Linked DNA regions of Arabidopsis thaliana. The protein of the gene in region 2 purifies or fractionates together with the protein of the main gene of each other region. This does not show direct contact. Each region holds a gene or a part of one and is shown on either strand. Other genes may lie near its edges.

The links. Proteins that work in one complex are often made in the same cells at the same time.
Region 1: the proteins of AT5G19510 (region 2) and AT1G57720 fractionate together in Arabidopsis thaliana (co-fractionation; one large-scale study listed by BioGRID). This does not show direct contact.
Region 3: the proteins of AT5G19510 (region 2) and AT1G09640 fractionate together in Arabidopsis thaliana (co-fractionation; one large-scale study listed by BioGRID). This does not show direct contact.

What each region holds. Positions count from the first base shown.
Region 1 is NC_003070.9:21,375,692-21,380,914, forward strand, and holds AT1G57720 (Translation elongation factor EF1B, gamma chain), read left to right. Parts: upstream 1-1,628; 5' UTR 1,629-2,029; intron 2,030-2,043; exon of another isoform or gene 2,044-2,132; 5' UTR 2,133-2,181; coding exon 2,182-2,190; intron 2,191-2,465; coding exon 2,466-2,615; intron 2,616-2,693; coding exon 2,694-2,754; intron 2,755-2,847; coding exon 2,848-2,900; intron 2,901-3,011; coding exon 3,012-3,113; intron 3,114-3,251; coding exon 3,252-3,738; intron 3,739-4,043; coding exon 4,044-4,423; 3' UTR 4,424-4,688; downstream 4,689-5,223. Other genes in the region: AT1G57730 (RING/U-box superfamily protein), read right to left, coding at 5,167-5,223. UniProt on the Arabidopsis thaliana protein: Probably plays a role in anchoring the complex to other cellular components.
Region 2 is NC_003076.8:6,581,111-6,585,050, reverse strand, and holds AT5G19510 (Translation elongation factor EF1B/ribosomal protein S6 family protein), read left to right. Parts: upstream 1-1,802; 5' UTR 1,803-1,913; coding exon 1,914-1,999; intron 2,000-2,089; coding exon 2,090-2,206; intron 2,207-2,299; coding exon 2,300-2,369; intron 2,370-2,585; coding exon 2,586-2,709; intron 2,710-2,822; coding exon 2,823-2,936; intron 2,937-3,033; coding exon 3,034-3,197; 3' UTR 3,198-3,351; downstream 3,352-3,940. Other genes in the region: AT5G19500 (Tryptophan/tyrosine permease), read right to left, coding at 3,352-3,548, 3,625-3,753, 3,853-3,937. UniProt on the Arabidopsis thaliana protein: EF-1-beta and EF-1-delta stimulate the exchange of GDP bound to EF-1-alpha to GTP.
Region 3 is NC_003070.9:3,117,892-3,123,077, forward strand, and holds AT1G09640 (Translation elongation factor EF1B, gamma chain), read left to right. Parts: upstream 1-1,847; 5' UTR 1,848-2,117; intron 2,118-2,225; 5' UTR 2,226-2,270; coding exon 2,271-2,279; intron 2,280-2,496; coding exon 2,497-2,646; intron 2,647-2,734; coding exon 2,735-2,795; intron 2,796-2,895; coding exon 2,896-2,948; intron 2,949-3,067; coding exon 3,068-3,169; intron 3,170-3,279; coding exon 3,280-3,769; intron 3,770-3,881; coding exon 3,882-4,261; 3' UTR 4,262-4,651; downstream 4,652-5,186. Other genes in the region: RAB11c (RAB GTPase 11C), read right to left, coding at 459-947, 1,516-1,680. UniProt on the Arabidopsis thaliana protein: Probably plays a role in anchoring the complex to other cellular components.

The sequences.
Region 1 (5,223 bases), on a different chromosome or scaffold from region 2:
TCTCAAGAACCACCAAAGAAAGAAAAACAGAACAAGAACAGAGGATCCAAGAAATAGGAAGAAGAAAAGACGTGAGGCTTTTACGATTTCGGGACTTGATTGAGATCCCTACGTTACGTAATACTTGCAATTCACTATCTTCTCAGTAACTGAATTTCTCACACGAAATTACATATGTTAAAATGTATATATATATCATACACAAGATGGATCCTTGCTCTACCTTTTTATAGCATGCTTTGTTACAACAACTTTTTTTTTAATTTGGTTGTTGTAAAACTTTGTTTCAACAATTATAACAGCCTTTTAACATAACATGGACATTAAACCAAACCTAAAGCGAGTCTACAGCAGCTCAATTATCGGTTCTAATCCGATATGCACATAGCCAACCCACGGTTAAAAGTTGATTTCATTTGATTTCCATCACCAAGGTCAACACTATCAACGTTTTTTGTTTTTTTTGGTCTAACTATCAAAGTTTAATTTCCCATAATATGAAGCTAACCATGCAATGTTGTAAACCCGAATTACATTTTGGTTTCTTAGACTTGATGATGAGTTGATGACTAATTGAAAACAAATTTAAGAGCTTACTAGTGTTCTCTCCAATGCTTCTTTTTTTTTAAATTGGAATTGATCACACACATATATATATTTACGCATATATGTATATATGGATGTGAACAATTAGTATTATTTTACAATAATAGTAAAAAAAAAAATGAACTTACAAATTACAAACCAAACTTGACGATATATGCATGCTCTTTGAGATCATCACACGAGTTGGTCGGAGCCACCTTTCGCAGTCTTGTCTGCTTCGGCTGGTCCATGTTTTTTCTCGGCTTTACTATCTGCGATTCTCTCTCGAGGGCTACACAAGATTCTTCCCAGAAAATGGGAAGCAATTGCCAAGAATATGATCACTATGACGATCAAACACCATTGCCAGATTGGAACCTCCATATCTTTAGTTTGGATTTTTGGTCACACAAAGTAAACGCAGTGCAGAAGAAGAAGAGGCGGAAGATGCTTGAAATTAAAGTTGTTGGTACTGTTGACCAAAAGGAGTAAGTTGTGAAGAAATGATACGCAAAGACTTGTGGAAGGTAACCAATTTTGTAAACTTCGTAGAAGAAATCGAACTCAATAAAAAAACATCTATATATGTATGACATACGAACAATAACATAGTTTAGTGGACCTACCAATAATGCCCTCTAATAGTTTTGGAAGCTACTTAATTAAAAGATTTTATTTCATTTTCACAAAGTGAAAGAAGGGTTACAAAATTCATCAATTTTGTATTTATTCAAACCCATACTTGGAGTTGGTGTATCAAAAACCTAATTATATTAATTGGCATTGTACGTGGTAACGTTTTAGTTTACATCTATGGATCAATCTTGCATAATAAGTTAATAACCCTTTTGAATTTAAAAAGCACAACACAACTTATTTTTAAAAAGGATATATCATTTTCGGATTTAAAGTTTAGTTTGTATGGTCTAAAACTTTGTTTTTGGTTGTCGTTTAGGATATCTTGGAGAGGAAGAAACCACATAGAGACATGAATCAGAGAAGTAACTTTGTGAGGTTGCTTCTACGAATTTCGATGAACTAGTGTTTCTTTTTCTTCTTTTTCAACAACATGCGAGTTTGGCACACCAAGGATATGGATACAACCAACTAAACTACATATCAAAATGGCCATGGGGAAATGTCAGCAAAATCTGTCAAAAAATGCAAAAACAAAACTCCAACTTTACTTTGGGTAAAACAATACGCTAATTTTTATTATGTTATACATAAATGCAAAAGTTATAATCGTTTAAACCTTAAAAATAAGCAAACCAAATTTGACAAAACCAAAAGCTAAACCGAATCAAACGAAAAAGGAATATTCTCCAAAACCGACTTCACACAGCCCTAATTTCCACACTCTAATACTATTTCTCGCCGCCGCTTTTGTATCTTCTTCTCTCTCGCTTTGCTCTCTCGGAATTGTTTTTGCAGAAAGTCTCTCGTAAGAATCAATCTATCAACTTCTTCTTCATATACGCTTCTCTCGTTTCAAAATTTCATCGACGATTAACTGATTTTTACTTGGTGTTTTCTTTGGTAACTAGATCTGAACTCAGAAAATCTCCGAGTTCGTATATCTTCTCCGTTTGAGCAATGGCGTTGGTAAGTACTCACTTCTGAGATCATTACACGTTTCATCAGATCCGTCACGATTGGTTTTACTGATCTGTTGATGATAGTTTATGAATTTTGATTCATGTATCTTAAATCTGGGAATATAGTTTGATTTTAGAATGATTTAGGTATCTTGGACGATTGTTTATTAATCTGAGAACTGGATTTTGTGTTGCATTGAAAAACTACTTTGGATGAATATAACTATGCAATTTCTGTTGAGTTTCATTGATGAAGTTTGTGTAAATCATACTATTTATCAGGTCATGCACACATACAAGGGAAACAAAGGTGCCAATAAGGCACTTATTGCTGCAGAGTATGCGGGTGTGAAGATCGAGGAGTCCGCAGACTTTCAGATGGGCGTCACTAACAAGTCACCTGAGTTCCTTAAGATGAACCCTATTGGAAAGGTATGGAATCTCTTTCGAGAAGTTTTGATTGATGTTTGCTGTAAATTCCTAGCTAATAAAAGATTATGATCCCACTAGGTTCCTGTGCTTGAGACTCCTGAAGGTCCCATATTTGAGAGCAATGCCATTGCCCGATATGGTATAACTTCATTTCCTTCTGTTTCTCTTTGATGCACCTATCTATAACTTGGTATTAATTGGATATGATGATTGTTTTGTTATCCCCCTTCAGTGAGCCGTAAGAATGGTGACAACTCTTTGAATGGATCCTCCCTTATTGAATACGTAAGCTCCTGTTTATCCAATGGCCTTTCCTTTTAAAATTATCGTACCTTTGTGTTTATCTCTTGTTTACTATCATTGATTCATGTCTATGTGCATGTGTTTACTTTTCAGGCTCACATTGAGCAATGGATCGATTTCTCCTCATTGGAGATTGATGCTAACATGTTGAAGTGGTTTGCTCCAAGAATGGGCTATGCTCCCTTCTCTGCCCCAGTAAGCTTTCCCTCATTTTTTGTGCCTTGTCTCATGCACTCTCTGTACTAACAAATCATGCTACTCCTTACTCGCTAAGATTAGTATTTGACTAGTCTAAGCTTGACTAATCTTTTTAATGGTTTTATCTGAATGAAGGCTGAGGAAGCGGCAATTTCTGCATTGAAGAGAGGACTTGAGGCTCTGAACACACATCTCGCCTCCAACACTTTCCTTGTTGGACACTCTGTCACCCTTGCTGATATTGTCACAATCTGCAACTTGAACTTGGGATTTGCCACCGTGATGACCAAGAAATTTACCTCTGCATTCCCTCATGTTGAGAGATACTTCTGGACAATGGTTAACCAGCCAGAATTCAAGAAGGTGTTGGGTGATGCCAAACAAACCGAAGCTGTCCCTCCAGTTCCTACTAAGAAAGCTCCACAGCCTGCTAAGCCCAAGGAGGAGCCCAAGAAGGCAGCCCCTGTAGCAGAGGCACCAAAGCCTGCTGAGGAGGAGGAAGCACCAAAGCCTAAAGCCAAGAATCCTCTTGACTTGCTACCACCAAGCCCAATGGTTCTCGATGACTGGAAGAGGCTTTACTCGAACACCAAATCCAACTTCCGTGAGGTTGCTATCAAAGGTATGTTATATGATGACTTCTGTTAATTGTTCTTTAGAAGAAATTGTTCTAGGTTTATGGAATCAACTTGTTAAGAAGAAAGCTACAAAAATCCGAGACAATGTGCTGTGACATCCTTATAATACCAGTGCTTACTAACGACTCTCTAAACAATTCACAGCTGCTCTAGTCTACTAAATTGCCTCCTAAGCTAGATATAGTAGACTTAGAGGGGTACTCACTATGGTTTATGGGACATGTATGGCCCAGAGTCTGAAAGTACATTCTATTAAGCTCAATGCCTTGAATGTTTTTCTTCATTGCAGGATTCTGGGACATGTATGACCCGGAGGGGTACTCACTATGGTTCTGTGACTATAAGTACAACGATGAGAACATGGTCTCCTTTGTTACACTCAACAAGGTAGGAGGGTTCCTTCAGCGTATGGACTTGGCACGTAAATACTCCTTTGGAAAGATGCTTATTTGCGGGTCAGAGGGTCCTTTCAAGGTGAAGGGTTTATGGCTTTTCCGTGGACCAGAGATCCCCAAGTTCATAATGGATGAGGTGTACGACATGGAGCTGTACGAGTGGACTAAGGTTGATATCTCCGATGAAGCACAGAAGGAGCGTGTTAGCCAGATGATTGAAGACGCTGAGCCATTTGAAGGCGAGGCTCTTTTGGACGCCAAATGCTTTAAGTGAAAAGGCTCTTTGTATCTCCGTAGAGGTTTACTCTGTTACTCGTGTTTTGATACCTTCTAGAGAGTCCTTACCACCTTTTGAATCGTACTCGGGTTTAAGAACTAGTTGCTTCTCAATGTTATTTTGACAGAATATTGTTCTTAAATACATTACAACTTCTAGTTATTGTTTTTATTTTGTTTTTTATTATCCAAACTCGTGTGTGTGACATTCTCTCTTTAAATTAGTTGCTTGGAAGATGCAAAGAATCTCGTTTAATGGGGCATACTGAATTTCATTTTAAAGTTGTAATATTACACGTCTCTAACTTGTCTCTAACACGTCTCTAACTTGATGATTCAGATATGTTCACTAAAACCCAAATTCCTTTTAAGCCAATCGAATGTTGGTCTACACAGCAACATTTAAGAGATAGGTGTAAGAAATAGAGCCATGAGGTGAGCTTATAAGGAGAGTGTATGTTGAACATGTTCATAGATATTAGGTCCGAGAGGCTTAAAATCACTCAAGTTTATTAAGATGAGAAGATATACCAAGTAAACCTAATTCGTTCTCTACAAAGAGTTTAATGACCAAAATAAACAAAAGGTAGATTAAGATCTTGTCTTAAGAAAATCAAATAAATCGAATCATTACTATATTATCTCAAACAAATCGAATCATTACAATATCATCTCAAGAAAATCAACAAATCATCATTCTTAACCTAAAAACCCTAAAAAAAGAAATCTTCATGACTCTGTTTAGGAGTAGTAGGGATAATCGTCGTCATCTTCATCTTCAAGAACAGTGCGGCAGAG
Region 2 (3,940 bases):
TTCAGTGTCATTTAGTTAAAATGATGTGATCAATGCATGTGATCTACGTAAAAAACAACATGAAATGAGAAGTCGCATTAGCTTGGTTAACGAACAAATAGAGAAGGGTTAGTTAATGCAGAATTGCTACAGCTGCTTATGAATGGGTCTGGCTAATATCATAGATCTTAAATTGCACAAAAATCATATAGTAGTAATGTAGTTATAATTTTTAAAAACTGTAATATAATAGTACCACTTAATAAGAGTTGAAAAGAAAAGACAAAGGCGACAGCAAGAATATATACAGACACAGTCCTTGGTTTTACCGTTATTTTCACAAATGAAATATATTAAAATTTCGGTAAAGACTAAAGACGAATTTGGCATTTCGATGAAAAAATCAACTTTTATATTGTTTTGAGTGTAAACTACGTACCTATCTTCTTAGTTCTTCCCATGATTTTAATGTGCACGGTAGGATATTTAAAATAACTCGCATCGAACAAATCCGAATTCAATTATTCAAAATTGAACCTATCCTTTTATGAGTACTAAAGGACGACAACAAAAATAGTAGTAGATAATTTCAATGCGTGGATATTTGAATTTAACTACTTTAATGTTATCTTGTGTCTATGTCATTTAGCCGTTAAGCTTATTATTTAAAAATGTAAATTTGTAATTAATAGATTTTTCTTATAAAGATGCCAAATATTGAATACATCTTTTTCCCAAATGTTATGTACAATTTGTAGGTACGTAATGTGGTCATGTCATCAAGTGTTTAATCTCACAAGTCGAAAGTAAAGGTGATATATGGACCAAAACATAAAACTCAAACGATATATGGACCAAAACATAAAACTCAAACGTGACAGTGACCAGTAATATGTACACTTTGACATTTTTCTTTTATTGGCAAAGGATTTGTTTGCAATAACAAAATAAAGTTTATAAAAGAATTAAACATGAACCATATCAACCAAAAAATAGAAGAGAAAATAAACACCCTATAAATGTAGCATTCAAAGAAATATACAAATTCTCAACCATCGTTTCACCAAACTAATAAGTGGTAAGTTGATAACTACTGATCAAACCAACATCACTAAGTAAGTAAGGGACCCCAATCGAAGCAGAGCCTAAGCTTTGTTTAGAGAGATCTTCTTGGTCTTTTGGGACAACGGTAACATCAGGTTGTAGTGTATAATGTCAAGGTGATAATGGTGATTATGTTCCTTCCAAGTTTCATAAATCGCCATCCTTGGAGCAGACTCAAGCTTTATCTGTTGTATCATGCAGCAACCAAGAGAAGTTGATTCCAAGATGAAGGAGCCAACTATAAATATGCAGCATGGTAGTGACTCATTGCCATATCTGGGAAGAGAATTGACACTCAAATTCTGTTAAAATATACACATGACATTACATAATTGTCTAAGTTAGTTACTAAAATAACACAAACTAAGTCCAAAATGAGCTCTGGTTTAGTATGATCAATCGGAGTCAAGTAAATTTAAATTCATCAAAAATATTTTACTTTTCATTACAGATTTACATATATACAAAATAGTACAAATTACAATTCATTCATATCAAGGTTTCACTCTATACCCAAAACTGGGAAGAATAAATTTTATCATTAATTTGTTTATTTCCAATTTTGTAGATACCTTTACCTATTTGAGAGTTGAGACCTATGTTATTTTTTTCCAAATAAAGAACAACCTAAATGTTAATTTTACTTTTTCCGGACTCTCTTTGGGAACGAGCCACTTTGAAGGCCCATAAATAAGCCCAAATATTTGTCAGTTTATTTGGGTTTAGGGTTTCTCAGAGTCTCACAGCTCAGGATATACTCTTTTAGGTTTCAACAGCAGCTTAGTCTCTCTGATCTCTCTACCTCCCTCACACCCTAAAACTCAGCAACAATGGCCGTTACCTTTTCAGATCTACACACAGAGGAGGGTGTCAAATCCGTGGAGGAGCACCTCGCCGGAAAAACCTACATCTCCGGGTAAAGTTTCTCACTTTTCCTATTGTTTTTGCGACACGATTCGATTGTTTCTATTCCCGTTTTGACGTATAAGAGAGTTTGAATTTGCAGAGATCAATTGTCTGTGGATGATGTCAAGGTTTACGCTGCCGTTCCAGTGAAACCCAGCGATGCCTTCCCCAATGCTAGCAAGTGGTACGAGTCCGTGGCTTCCCAACTTGCTAAAAGGTTCGTCCTTTTTTCGGAATTTTGTAATAATCGATTCAGATTTGGATTTGTATATTGATCTTCCAGGAATTGACGAGTTTTGATTTGTTGCAGTTTCCCTGGAAAGGCCGTTGGAGTACAATTCGGTGGCTCTGCTGCTGCTGCTCCAGCTGTTGAAGCTGAGGTACCTTTACTTGAATGCTTTATTCTTTATTACCATAGTCGTAGACCTTAGAAAAAGGGTAATGAATGTAGTTTGGAACTATGATTTGAAAGGTGATATTTCCAATCTTGTATTAGGGATCACGAGCTATGTTTGGTAGGGGAATTGATTGGAGTTTGGTTTGGAATGTTGTGTGTGTGTGTGTGTGTTTACGCTATCTTGCATAATTGTCAACAGGCACCTGCAGCTGCAGCTGATGATGATGATGACATGGATCTCTTTGGTGACGAGACCGAAGAAGAAAAGAAAGCTGCAGAGGAGAGGGAGGCTGCTAAGAAGGACACCAAGAAGCCTAAAGAGAGTAAGCCTCTTAATTGAATTCGATAGTACATATACAAGCATGTGAATTAGTAACTGCATCTTAAATTTTAATAAGGGTTCTAACTCTCTTTTGAATTTTGAACTCTTTGTTAGGTGGAAAGTCTTCTGTGCTCATGGATGTTAAGCCATGGGATGATGAAACCGACATGAAGAAACTGGAAGAGGCTGTTCGTGGTGTTGAGATGCCTGGTCTTTTCTGGGGAGCCTGTACGTTTAAACTTTCAATCTTTATATCAGAGTAAGCTTGTTACTCTTTGGGTGAGACAGTTTTATAATTGATATTTTTTTTCTCCCTGTCTTGCAGCAAAACTTGTACCAGTTGGTTATGGGATCAAGAAACTCACAATTATGTTCACGATTGTTGATGACCTCGTGTCCCCGGACAACCTCATTGAAGACTTCCTCACCTCAGAGCCTAACAACGAGTACATCCAGAGTTGTGACATTGTCGCTTTCAACAAGATTTAGAGACTTCAAATTTCTCCTTACCGAAACATATCTGAATTTCAAGTTTTGTTTTCGTTTGTGTTGTTTACCGAAATGTTTCTTTCCTAGTTGCAAGACCGCTTTCATGTTACAATAACACTAAATTTTCAATGGTTACTATTCCGTTGCATCATTGTTAAGAAACATTTAGATACTTTGACAAATTCTCTATTACTTCAGAAATAATTACGTATCCTGCAGCTCCCATAACCAGAGAAAGGGTGAGTTTTCCTCCGGGAACAAGTTGAGGTAATCTTGTCACTGTTGATGATGAGACTATGTACCTATCTGACCAAGACATTGCTGCTGGGAGGATTCCGAACAATACCAGAACTACGAAAGAGAACATACAGTTGTTAGGTTTTCATGTTTGAACTTGTTGATTCAGGTTTCTCAAGAAGAGACTTACCTCCATATGTCCCGGCAAAATCTAAGGCCTTGAAGAAAATCTCTGGATCCAGTAGGGACAGAACAAGCGGTGGAACGAGAGTAAGCAAGTAAAGAAGAGGCTTGTTCTGGCCACTCGGGAGCTTCAATACTGAAAGTTTTCGATGAAAGAATAGATTATACAGTTATGTCTCCATGGCTGTAGATTTAGTAGAAAAACATAAAAGTTTGATTGTTTGATGATACTTACAGTCAGAGAAGAAATCAGAGAGGCCTAAGACAAACCCTATATAAGATGTTGCGATTGCAAAAAGAGAGAATGCTTCCACAAACGGCTG
Region 3 (5,186 bases), on a different chromosome or scaffold from region 2:
TTGCCTGTATTCTTGTTGACTTCCGTTTTTTTTTTCCCCCTTTTTTTTAATTAACTTCCTTTCTTTGCTTTTCCATTTCTTCTTGATTGAAAAATGTATATTGTGTGATTTTGTCTACTTTATTTAAATTATCTTTGAAATCGAAGAATTTCTGCTCTATTAAAAATTCAAACTATAGTCTACGTTGGTATTTGTTTATTTCATTTTATACTCTGCTTATTTTTCTGATACTACATTACAACTACCACTCAAAACTACAATTAATTCCCTAAAAATATTTTTCGTTTCCAAAATTTGTTTTGTGTGAACGATTCCGAACTCCACAATTGATATAAAAAATTATCTTTGAGTTATATTATCAACAACAGAAAAAAGAAAGAAAACAAATACAACGCAAGCCTTGAAATAAAGTCTCATAGATATTTGGCTTTTTTTAAGTGCAACACAAACAAAGCCTTTCAAGACGATGAGCAACAAGGCTTCTTAGCGTTTGATTCAGAAGTAGCAGCCACATCAATTGTTTGGCCTTCCTTGATGTTGGCATTTGCAGTTGTCTGGTCTGAAGATATCGACTTCTTGCTGATGATCCTATAAACCTCCGAGAGAATCGTCTGAAAAGCCTTTTCTACGTTTAATGCCTCGAGAGCCGATGTCTCGATGAAAGATAAGCCTTCTTTCTCTGCATAGCTCTGAGCATCCTCTGTGGCAACTGCTCTGAGATGCTTCAGATCTGTCTTGTTCCCAATCAACATGATCACTATATTGGAATCTGCATGGTCTCTTAGTTCTTTTAACCACCTGCTTACATTCTCAAACGTTGTTGGCTTGGTGACATCATAGACCAAAAGAGCTCCAAGTGCACCTCTGTAATAGGCGCTAGTTATGGCTCTGTATCGTTCTTGCCCAGCCGTGTCCCATATCTGAGCTTTCACAGTCCTTCCTTCCACCTTAGAACAAAGATCATAGGTTTTTTAATAGGTTAATTCAGATCTAATGAGCAGCAGACTCTATGATTAGTGTGTCTGCAACAACAAAATTAGTAACTTCGCAGCTAAATTCCACAAACAACCCAGTAAGAAAACTAGAAACTGTGAAACAACAACCATGATTCATACTTCAAAAGAAAATCATGTTCGAGATCAATTTCAGATGAAGAGATTCTTAGATCTGCCTTAAACAAGGTTTTAGATCTGACATGTGAGGGAGCCTTACACTACCACGTACCAGAGTATCGACAAATTTGGGAACATTATCAATAAAACGCTTAAATTAAGAGATACCAAAGCAAAAATCTCGACCAAATGAAAAAAACAGGCACCACACATGTAAACATCAAAATTCAAAACCAAGCCCAAATGTTCCTACACACAATGACTGCTTCCGAGTATTCATACGAACACAGATACGGATCGAATCGAAAAGCACCGGATGCTGCTTAACTTAGAACTAAACCTAGATCCAGCAACATTTCGATTACACTATATACTATATATATAGAGAGAGATGTGTGCGTACTTGGAGAGTACGAGTAGCGAATTCGACACCAATGGTGGATTTGGATTCTAAGCAGAACTCGTTGCGAGTGAATCTAGAGAGGAGATTAGACTTGCCGACACCGGAGTCTCCGATCAAAACCACTTTAAACAAGTAGTCGTATTCTTCGTCCGGTCTTCTCGCCATTGTTACACTTTTCTCGAGGAGTGCTTTAGATTTGGGATTTTGAAATAGAAAAGGAGAAGATGACAGAAATAAATAAATAATTTAATTTCTCTTTCCCCTTGGATCTTCTCTATTCAACCTTCTCGGCTTGTTATTGCCCAACGACGAAGACCTTTTCTTGTCAAGTTGGGCTTACTAAAAAAGCCTACATATATGTAATTCATTTATACATGCTAATAAAAGGGAAAGTAATTAGAGCTTAACCGGAAAATAAACAAAAATCAGAAATAAAACCAAACAAAACCGAGCCAAACCAGAGGAATACACTCAATACAGATTTTAAAAACCCTACTTCTTCATCATCATCCCTTCAACACTCCTTTATAGCTTTTCTCCGCCTCAACTTTTTGCTTCTTCTCTCTCGATTTGCTCTCACGGAAGATTCTTCAGAATATCTGGTAAGATCCATCGATCGAACAATCTTTTTTTCTCCAGTTAGCTCATATTCATATTTATGATCATGTCAATTGCGAGCTCACTGCTTGATTTTTTTTCCTTGGAACCAGATCCGATATCAGAAGCCCCAAGTTCGCTTGAATTCCGTCTGAGCAATGGCTTTGGTGAGTTCTCTATGATTGTCTACTGTTACGATCGCATCATGTATCGATATAATTGTAGAAACGTTAGATTTGTAAATTTTAGGATCTAAGTTTATAGAACGATTGTTCATACACCAAATTGATTAAAATTATGTTAGTTTGGATATGTAGCTACTCTATTGTTAAGTTATTGATTTGGAATACGTATTATTGTGCTGATGATGAATTACGATTGCAGGTCTTGCACACGTACAAGGGAAACAAAAGTGCTGAGAAGGCACTCATTGCAGCAGAGTACGTTGGTGTGCAGATCGATGTGCCCTCTGACTTTCAGATGGGTGTCACTAACAAAACCCCTGCGTTCCTCAAGATGAACCCTATTGGAAAGGTTTGTCATCACTGGTGTTTGCTAAATTTCTGGACTGAGTATTATTAAGTCTATTTTTCAGCTAACCAAGAGTTATTGATCTTGCTAGGTTCCTGTACTTGAGACTCCCGAGGGTTCAGTATTTGAAAGCAACGCAATTGCCCGTTATGGTAAAGCATTCATAACTTTCTCCTTTAATTGTCTCTCAGTGTCTAGTTTGATTGCTTGTTGTCGTTTGGGTTTAATGGATCTGTTGATATCTCAATACAGTAAGCCGATTGAATGGTGACAACTCTTTGAACGGATCCTCCCTGATCGAATATGTAAGTAGCTGTTTTTTCCCTGGGGGCTACTCTTCTCTAATCCATTGACACCTCTTCTATTGTTTGTCATTCTATTTGTTAGTATTCTCAATGGTTATCTGCATGTTGTTTTTTCGCAGGCACAAATTGAGCAATGGATTGATTTCTCTTCATTGGAGATCTATGCAAGTATCTTGAGGTGGTTCGGCCCAAGAATGGGCTTTATGCCATACAGTGCTCCGGTAAGCTTTTTTGACTTTCATTGGTTGTTTCATTCACTCTTTGTGATGGCAATCTAGGTATTCTTTTCACTATATAAATAGTCTCATCCGTGATTGTTATATAAATGAAGGCTGAAGAAGGTGCGATCTCTACGTTGAAGAGAGCACTTGATGCTCTGAACACACATCTCACGTCTAACACTTACCTTGTCGGACACTCTATTACCCTTGCTGATATCATCACTGTCTGCAACTTGAACTTGGGATTTGCTACTGTCATGACCAAGAAATTTACCTCTGAATTTCCTCATGTTGAGAGGTACTTCTGGACTGTGGTTAACCAACCAAACTTCACTAAAGTGTTGGGTGATGTCAAACAGACTGAAGCTGTCCCTCCTATTGCTTCCAAGAAAGCTGCCCAGCCTGCAAAGCCCAAAGAAGAGCCTAAGAAAAAGGAAGCCCCAGTAGCAGAGGCACCTAAGCTTGCTGAAGAGGAAGAGGCACCAAAGCCCAAAGCCAAGAACCCTCTTGACTTGCTACCACCAAGCCCTATGGTTCTAGATGATTGGAAGAGGCTTTACTCAAACACCAAATCTAACTTCCGCGAGGTTGCTATTAAAGGTGTGTGGTGATATCTTCCTCTACCTAGTTTTTCAGCTTTGCTATCAGGGAATTATTTAGCTATTGGAATCAATTGTTTTTTATCATGTCTAATATTGTGGCTCAAATGCAGGATTCTGGGACATGTATGACCCAGAGGGATACTCACTATGGTTCTGTGACTACAAGTACAACGATGAGAACATGGTGTCATTTGTCACGCTCAACAAGGTTGGTGGGTTCCTTCAGCGTATGGACTTGGCACGTAAATACTCCTTTGGAAAGATGCTGATTTGTGGGTCAGAGGGTCCGTTCAAGGTGAAGGGTTTATGGCTGTTCCGTGGACCAGAGATCCCAAAGTTCATAATGGACGAGGTGTACGACATGGAGCTGTATGAGTGGACTAAGGTTGATATCTCAGATGAAGCCCAGAAGGAGCGTGTTAGCCAGATGATTGAAGACGCAGAGCCATTTGAAGGTGAGGCTCTCTTGGACGCCAAGTGCTTCAAGTGAGAAGAGAGAATGGTTTGGTACTTCCATTTACAGGTTTTGCAGCTGGGGCTTTACATATCTTTCTATCTGTCTGTCTCACATAGGGGTTTTGCTCTGTGACGTGTCGCATAGACTGTTTTTTTCTTTTCTAATCGAGTGTCAAGGACAAGTCTTTTTAGTTCTTTGTTAATGTTTCGCCTCCGTCCAGAATTGTTTACTATACCAGTTTTCGAAATCCTGACCGGCCAGTCTACCCTGGCAATAGGCAATACATGGTCTGGTTTATTTGTTTTACGGTAATTTTGCCTTGATTGATTTTCTTTGACGCGTTTCGGTCAACTTATATACATTGGTCTTTGAGTTGAACATTTAGTGGTAAAGTCTTTTTGGCACATATATTGAACATTTTTCCAATTTTAAAAATTGCTGAAAAAGCAAACTCTTGAAGAATAATAAGTCTAGTTAATTTCGTAGAAGAAGAACTGGCATGTTCATCTCGAAATTAACTAACGAATAAAAAAAGGTAGACAACTTAATACGCCACACAACTCTAATAAAAGAACATGTAACTTATGACAAAATAATGTAACATTTGTTCATAATATTTTTCGTATCAGATTATATATACAAATTGCTGATTATAATTATTATTCGCTGTTTGACCAAAAAATAAAAAATTATTGTTTCGCTGAGAAATGTATAGATAATTATATTATACGTTAGATTGGTAACTACCAAAAATATTACTATATGTTAGATTGGTCACAAAATAAGAAAAGAAAGGTAGTGTATATCAATTTATTAATGACGTATTTAATAAAGTTGGTCTCAAGCGAAATGAATTGTTCTTTACTGCTACAAGGCATATAATCCTGTAAAGAAAATCTGGGTGGTCGAATTGTTCTTTTCCCTTTTTCTAATTTCAACATCAAAAGTTGTTCCACCA